Coturnix japonica: one gene and its partner. The protein of the gene in region 1 purifies or fractionates together with the protein of each later gene. This does not show direct contact. Links are inferred from orthologs where the notes say so. Each region holds a gene or a part of one and is shown in the gene's direction. Other genes may lie near its edges.

The links.
Region 2: the proteins of COPS7B (region 1) and DCAF1 purify together in Homo sapiens (affinity purification with mass spectrometry; 3 studies listed by BioGRID, with this or other methods). This does not show direct contact. The link is inferred for Coturnix japonica from reciprocal best matches to the Homo sapiens genes COPS7B and DCAF1.

Annotation. Positions count from the first base shown.
Region 1 is NC_029524.1:13,414,545-13,417,835, forward strand, and holds the end of COPS7B (COP9 signalosome complex subunit 7b), read left to right. Parts: intron 1-1,264; coding exon 1,265-1,423; 3' UTR 1,424-2,790; downstream 2,791-3,291. UniProt on the Homo sapiens protein: Component of the COP9 signalosome complex (CSN), a complex involved in various cellular and developmental processes.
Region 2 is NC_029527.1:1,257,870-1,261,778, reverse strand, and holds the start of DCAF1 (DDB1- and CUL4-associated factor 1), read left to right. Parts: upstream 1-1,129; 5' UTR 1,130-1,286; intron 1,287-1,479; exon of another isoform or gene 1,480-1,808; intron 1,809-3,909. Other genes in the region: guanylate-binding protein 4-like, read left to right, coding at 336-730. UniProt on the Homo sapiens protein: Acts both as a substrate recognition component of E3 ubiquitin-protein ligase complexes and as an atypical serine/threonine-protein kinase, playing key roles in various processes such as cell cycle, telomerase regulation and histone modification.

The DNA of each region.
Region 1 (3,291 bases):
GTTACAGCTTTGAAGTACTCTAGCAATTGTGCAAGTCAGATATACTGTTCTGGGGTAGGAAAAATAGAAATCCTTTTCCTTGTGCTAATAACACCACAAAGACCCACTCTAAGTGGGTTGAAACTTTTCTGTATAAAAATGGGCCAGGTGGGTGCTTGTACTTCCCTCGACTGACTGATTAGGGAAAGAGCCCTTGTGATACAGACCTTGCATATAGTTCTCTCTTTTTTGTGTAAGGAAGGAAAACCACACTAAAACTAAAAATCTCTCGAGACTCATTGCTTTTGCACACAAGGGCTCTAGAGTAGTGTGGACTGGGCGCGCTCCCACTGTAGGCTGTACCTCTTCTTAGACCATAGATGGCAGCACGAGCACACAATGTCAGCCCTGGCTGATGTGTATTTACTAGTGAGAACAAATCTTGGCTAATACAGCTGTAAAGGTGAAAATGGTCCTCCTGAGACACTCGCTGAGGGTTTATTTCTTGCATAGTGCTGCATCCCTGCAGGTTTACGTTTGCTTTCCGAAGCAGTTCATGCTTGGCGGCTTGATTGGCATCCGTAGTGCTTTTGGTTTGCCAGATGCCTTTAGCCTGGAGTTGGTGCACCTGACTCCCAAACTTGTTTGGGCCTTTTTTTTCCTCCTTTTTTTCCTTTTCTGTTTTTAGTGCTTGCTGACTGTATTACTGGTGAGCACTACAGAATTTTATGAGACAAGGTATGTTGCCTGGTGCTTTGTCTCTCCTTTTCAGCCAGAGTCGTGGGAGCGCTACTCTTCCCTCCCACAGACCAGTTCATGTTCCTGCTTCTAGCAAATATCCATGGCTCAGCCAGACAGATCAAGTGGCATTTTTCCTTTTTCTTTTTGAGTGCTCCTGGAAGCATATGTTTGTTTCTCACTGACTACTTTGTCCCTGCTGCTTCTGGCCAGCCTAGTGGTAAGATGGCTGCCTTCTGCAGAAAGGCAGTAGTAGCTCCCTTTGTCCAACCAAGAAGATAGAATAGTATTGTATTTTTGTCTCATAAAAGAAGTAGGTAATCTCTAGTTATTTCCAGTCTGAGTCCAGTATGGATTACAAGAATGCTGGCTTTAAGTGAGCACAAAACGTTGCCCCTTAAGACTCAAATGCAGTCTGTTTTTGTTGGGAAAGTTTTTGATAGACTTCAGTCTGCACTCCAAGGGATTTTCAGTATGTTTATGAACAGAGTTTCTAATGCAAAGAGAGAAGGAAGCTGGTGCTGACTCACTGTCTCTTCTTGGCCAGGTCACAAACATAAAGAAAACATTAAAAGCTACAGCCTCGTCGTCTGCACAGGAGATGGAACAGCAGCTGGTAGAGCGAGAGTGCCCTCCACACACAGAACAAAGGCAGTCCACAAAGAAGATGTCCAAAGTTAAAGGGCTGGTCTCCAGCCGTCACTAGAACATACCATCCAAATGTCATTCAGCTAGGAATGACAGCAGGAGGAGCAAAAAAGGGCCTGTGTCTCCTTTTCCAGTGGGTTCTGGGCCAGTCCCTTCCAGGCTGGCAAATAAAAGCCCTGTTTGAATGCAGCACCTGGCAAAGTTACACTGTGCAGCCCCTATTCGTTAATGAGGGTGTCTCTGTTCTGGTCCTTTAAAGAGGGACTTTTGAAGAGAGGGACTGGCACAATGGGGCAGTAAAAAAATCTGTGGACAGTTTTGCTCCCTCTCAGCCAGTTTCATTGCTGCTTAACCTTTAGGAAGCTGCTGTACTAAATCAGATCTTGGGATGACTTCTGTGTCAAGAGTGAATCCCAGGGCTGAAGTGTGGCTAATAAAGCCAGGCTGGGAGTGAGGAAGCCACCAACACAGATCTTTTCATTCCCAGAGGGAGCACAGAAAGGTTTCTAGGCCATGAACTGCTTTACATTGAAGTTTTCAGCCTTTCCACTACCCCTGTCTGTTTTGAACTGGGGTAAAATTCACGCTACCTCGCTCTGTGAGGATGAGATTCAGTGCTGGGCTGTTTACTTAACTGTCTGTTTACTGCCCTTACTAAGCCCTTCAATCTCTTGCAGATTTAACGCACTGGTCTGCATCCCTGAGGCCTCAATACAGAAAGGAGGAAGCAGGCTGCTCTTCCAAGCCTTCCTTCTTACAGATGGTTAGGGACACAGTAAAAACAGTGCTCCTTTGGAATGTGATGTCACCTCTCAGAGCTGCTTGTGAGTTGTTCCCCCGTTGATACCTCCAGAGGGTAATGCATTTGCTCTTCCTTGGGTGCTAGTGACAGTGGTCTGCGTGGGAGAAGAGCCCCTTTAGCATTGTGGCAGGCTGGTGGCCCAGGACCCACTGGCAGGGGTCACAGCAGTATCCCCTTGCTGAACCAATGGACTTGACTAGTCTTTCTGAATCTTGAACACTTTCAGGTTGTATTTTCTTCTTTTTTTTATTTCTTTTTTTTTTTTTTTTTGTACATTGTTGTGATTCTGAAGCATTTCAGCCTTTGTTTTGTGGGTTATTTTTTTTTTATATGTTACAGTCTAACTTCAGGTGATTTGCACCTGATTTGGTGAGGAATGGGTTGGGTTTTTTTTCTAAGGGGGAGGATGGGGCCGGCAGTGAAACAGCAATTCACAAGAAAAAAGCACATTTTAGAAAAAATTAAAAATGCTGATTTAATGTCAGAGTTCAGAGTCTTGGCTTTGAGACTGCTTTAGCATTTGTTCACACGAGCCTTTACTTGATTCCTGATGCTACGTTATCAGAAGGTCTGACTAATCTCTCCCTGACGCATCTGGGAAACAGAGAATTACTGTTCCTGTTCTGTCAGTGCTTCATCTTTGTCCAAGTTTGTGTGGAAGGATCTGTGGCAAAGCCAGTAACTGAGCCCAGAGTCCTGAGCCTAAACACCGTTGCTGCCTGATAATAGGAGGTTTGAAGTTTTGCTCCATCGTTGGCAGCTGGGTTCCTTTCTCTGGGTCTCACAAACTGAAGTGTTTTATTTCAGTCAGTGTTGTAAAAAATAAATAAATAAAGGTTTTCCAGGAGCGGGAAGGGGGGCTGTTGAAGCAGACAGCTGTGACAGCACTCCAGTCCTGCATTTACTTTGTGCAATGCACGTGCCGTCCACTAAATGCTGTGGAGTTCTTTGCCATCTGCACATTCTCAGTCCTTGGCTCCAGGACCTGCTGTGCGCTTGTAAAAGGAAATTCTCTCTTTTTCTCTCCTCCTGCAGTGCAGGCACAGCAGCTTTCAGTCTAAGAGGTGGATCTAAATGCCTCCCATCCAGCTGCCTTTGGGTCAGGTCCCTTGGTTTCTGATTCA
Region 2 (3,909 bases), on another chromosome or scaffold:
TCCCCTCCTCAACCATCCCTGTGTCCTCCAGCGACAAGGGGAATCTCATAGCGTTTCCATGTTCCCTGGGGCCAGCTCATGGCATCCTCATGTACTTCAGGAATGCTTGTATCCCTCCAGGGACATCTCACGATGGCCCCATCTCTTGAGGAGTCCCATTCTATCCTGGGGACATCTCACAGAGGGCCCACATCTCTTGGGGTGCTCCAGTGTGCCCCGGAGACACCACAAATTGTCTCTTTATCCTCACCACATCCCTGCATCCCCTCCCCGAACTAGAAGCTGAAGGCTCTGCTTTATCCTCCGTGCCCCTCACTCCGTCCCTTCGCCCCCAGACCAGAAGCAGCAGGCCCAGCTCATGGAGCAGCAGCAAAAGGCGGCAGCGGAGCGTGAACAGCAGCTGCAGGCGCTGCTGGAGGACGAACGCTGCAGCCACGCACAGAACCTGCAGGCGCTGGAAGCCAAGATGAGGGAGGAGGCGGCCAATGCGCAGCGGGAGCTGGACAGGGCGCTGGAAGCGAAGCTGAGGGAGCACGGTGAGATGCTGCAGCGAGGCTTCAATGAGCGGGCGGCGCTGCTAGAGCAGGAGATGGCGGCGTTAAAGAGGGAGATCAGCGGCAGCAAGCAGGACCTGGCGGCCAATATCTTCGACGCCGTGCGAGCTGCCTGCGACCTCGCCAGAGTGTGGAAGATATCCAGGATGAGCAAGGCCCGGGGCACCGCGGTGTAAGGCCGCAGCACAACGGGCAGGGGTCGGCCGTAGGCACAACCACAACCCGCGGCCAACGCCGACCCGCCCCCGCCGCTGTCTGGCGGCCAAATAAAGCGCTCCCCACTCAGCTCCACTCGCGGCCTCCTTTCCAATATGGCGGCACTTCCGGCGCGGTGACGTCACAAGCAGTGCGACCGGAAGCAAGCGCTCCCCCTTCCGGCCCTTCCGGGAAGGAGAGAAACCTCGCGAGACTACAGTCTTTCCCTTTTCACCCGGAGGGCTGTGGCGATGCTCACTTCCGGTTGTAGGCGTGTGGGTGGCGCCACAGTACTACAACTCCCATGATGCTCTGCGGCAGCGCTGACATAACGCATGCGCAGATATGCCCTCGGCGCGAACTGCGTTTCCCATGAGGCCTAGCGCGAGGCCTGCGCTCGCCGCTCGCTCCTCCCGCCCCGCCGCTCGCATCGTGCTGACGCGCAAACTGTGTGCCCGCCATCGCCATCGCGGCCGCCGCGGGGCCGAGCTCAGGGCCGGGGCGGCAACGGCGGCGACCCAGCAGGGCAACGGGCAGGTACGGGGCAACGGGTGGGCCGAGTCGGGCTGGTGGGAGTCGGGCCGGTGACCGCGGCCTCTAGGCCGGGCCGGGCGGGAGGGCGGGTGTCGGCTCGGGGCCTGCGGGAGCCGCGGGCGGTTGGGCCGCTGTGTGAGCCCCGCCCCGCGGTAGCGGGTGTCCGCGGTGTCGGCGGGGCTGAGGGCACCGCGCTGCCCCCGCGGCCTGTCCGCTCCGCTCCGCTCCTTGGGCCGGCGGTTCCGCTCCCGTCCCGGGGCTGCCGGCAGGAGCCTCGTTACTGCCCGCGGATCGAGGCGGCGGCGCTTCCGCGTTGGTGCTGGGCCCGGTGCCCGCACGGCGCTGTTGGCTGCGGGCTGTGCCTGCCCGACCTGGAACGGGAGGAACCGGGAGAGCTGAGTAACTGCGTGCTGTGCTCCGGTGTTAAGAGACGATATAGCTTTAAAAACGAACAACAGCGACCATTATTGCCTTAATGTCGTTTCTTTTCCTGGTCATTTATTTATTTATTTAAAGCGATTCAAGGTATGCGTTGTGTAACAGCAACCAAGTGGGGGCTGCGGGAGGGGTGAAGTTGGAAATGAAGGTTCCCCTCCGCCCCCCTCAGCCCTAACAGTGCGGTGCCTCCTATTGCCCTGCTGTGGGATCTGGAAGCTGCTGCTGTGCTCCATCCCAGGGCTGACAGCGAGCTGGGCTGTGCTGGGCTCCTCCGGTTGCTTGGGGCTCAACAGGTACAGACAACCAGCTGACAGCATCTCTGCTGTTCAACACTAACTGTGAACAGGAGGTTATTACTCTTTCCTATTTTCCTTCAAAGTAAAGAACTCCCCGTGTTAAAGGATAAATATATGAAGAGCGTATGGATGTGCTGATCTGCTTGCTGGGTGTTTAATTGGGTTCTGATTCCTAAGTTTCTAATTTGTCTCATCTGGGATTATATTATTGCATTCTGCTTCTCATCTATTTCGTCTTCTCAGCTGTATTTAAAATGCTTGTCTGTATGGCAGTCAGTGTGTTCGGAGCCTCATAATCCTTTTCAAGAATGCAACACAATCAATATGTGAGTGACCTGCTCAGTGTGACACTCACACGTGCTGAGGAGCAAGAGGTGAAGCTGAACAGCCTGAGCTGTGCTCTGCTCTTAGGGATTTGTAGCCAGAGCTCCCTGGGACTTGTATTTCTTTGCTGTGTGGAGCTGTCTGAGCCTGCAGGAACTGTGAGCGCTTCTGGGTCTCAGTGACTCTGGGGTTGTCTTTTCTGTCTGGCTTTTACATCTTTGTTTGGAAGAAGAAAGTGCTCAGCAAAGCACTTGGTTACGATGCGGGGATGCCGATTAGTGCTTAGTACTGAAGTAATACATTGCACGTGGGTTATTAGAGGAAGTGTTTGCAGGGAGTTGTTCCTGAGGTTTAAAGTCTTTTGAAGTGCCATCCTTTGAGTGGGTCCTGCATGGTTTGTTCATAGCAGTTCTACTGGAGCTGTATGTGATGTCTTGACAGCAGCAGTGTCAGGAAAGATGAAGTGTTCCTACCACTACCTTATCAGATACATTAACTAAAGTCTGTTGTGGGGCACAATATTCAAAACTTAGTGAAGAAGTCATGGATTCAGATCCACGATCAGAGAGATGCTCCCTGTTCTGCTGCTTCCTGGAAAGCAGTGTGAGGTTGTGTGTATTCACCAGGTTCTCCAAGGGAGATCCCTGCAGGGTTTCCTGGCTGGCAGAGCAGGAGGATTTGTGCCATTTGCAATTCAGTTCATCCAATTTCTGGCTTTGGCCTTTCTGCAGGGCACTTCGCTGTGACTTAAGGTAGAATACTTGGGGGGGGGGAAAAGCAAGCACAGCAGGAACTGCTTTGATTCTTGTATTTGAAAAGGCTTTTGGCTGCTGTAGCTTTCCATCCTTGTATATTTTGTATGGGAACTGCAGCAGTGCTGCTGGGGGTAGATTTTTTTGTTGCCTCCCTTTGCAGTGCCATGTTTCTTTGATTGCCTTGAGGAGGCACCAGCAGTGCTGAGTACCTGTCAATAGGGCAGCATTCTTATGTTTTAACTGTGTTGCAGGGTGTACTGTATGATCATCAGTTCTTTAGACCCATTATGTGCTTGAAGTGAGATAATCTTAGAAAGCTCCAAGGTTTTCCTTCATTTCCCTTGGTTATGGTATAATATGAGCACTCTGATCTTCCTGCCTTGGACTTTGGCCTGCTGGAGCAGTGTGTCTCATTTTTAGCTGGAACATGAAAAATTGTTATGGGGAGGGAAGCTGTCCCTGCAGGTTGCAGGAGATCCTGCCTCGGCCTTGCACAAACTCTTGGGGAGCATGAAGCATTTTTTTCTGTGCCCTTTGGGCATGTAACAAAGGTGTGGATGGCAGAAATGATTAGTTCAGAGGCTCAAGGTAGATTTTATTTACTCATATGGATGTTGTTTTTCTGTGTGCTTGAAAGCTGAGAAATGCTGCTGGCAAGTGGAGTTAATGAGCAAAGACATGGACCTGTGTGAGCTGGGAGCAGCTTTCCATATCAGAGGTGTTGTGTTGTACAATCTCAGGATGCTTTGTTGTTTGCATTGAGCTGGTGCTTTTTGGGAAGCCCCTTGTCCTGTGATAGGTGAACAATGGAAA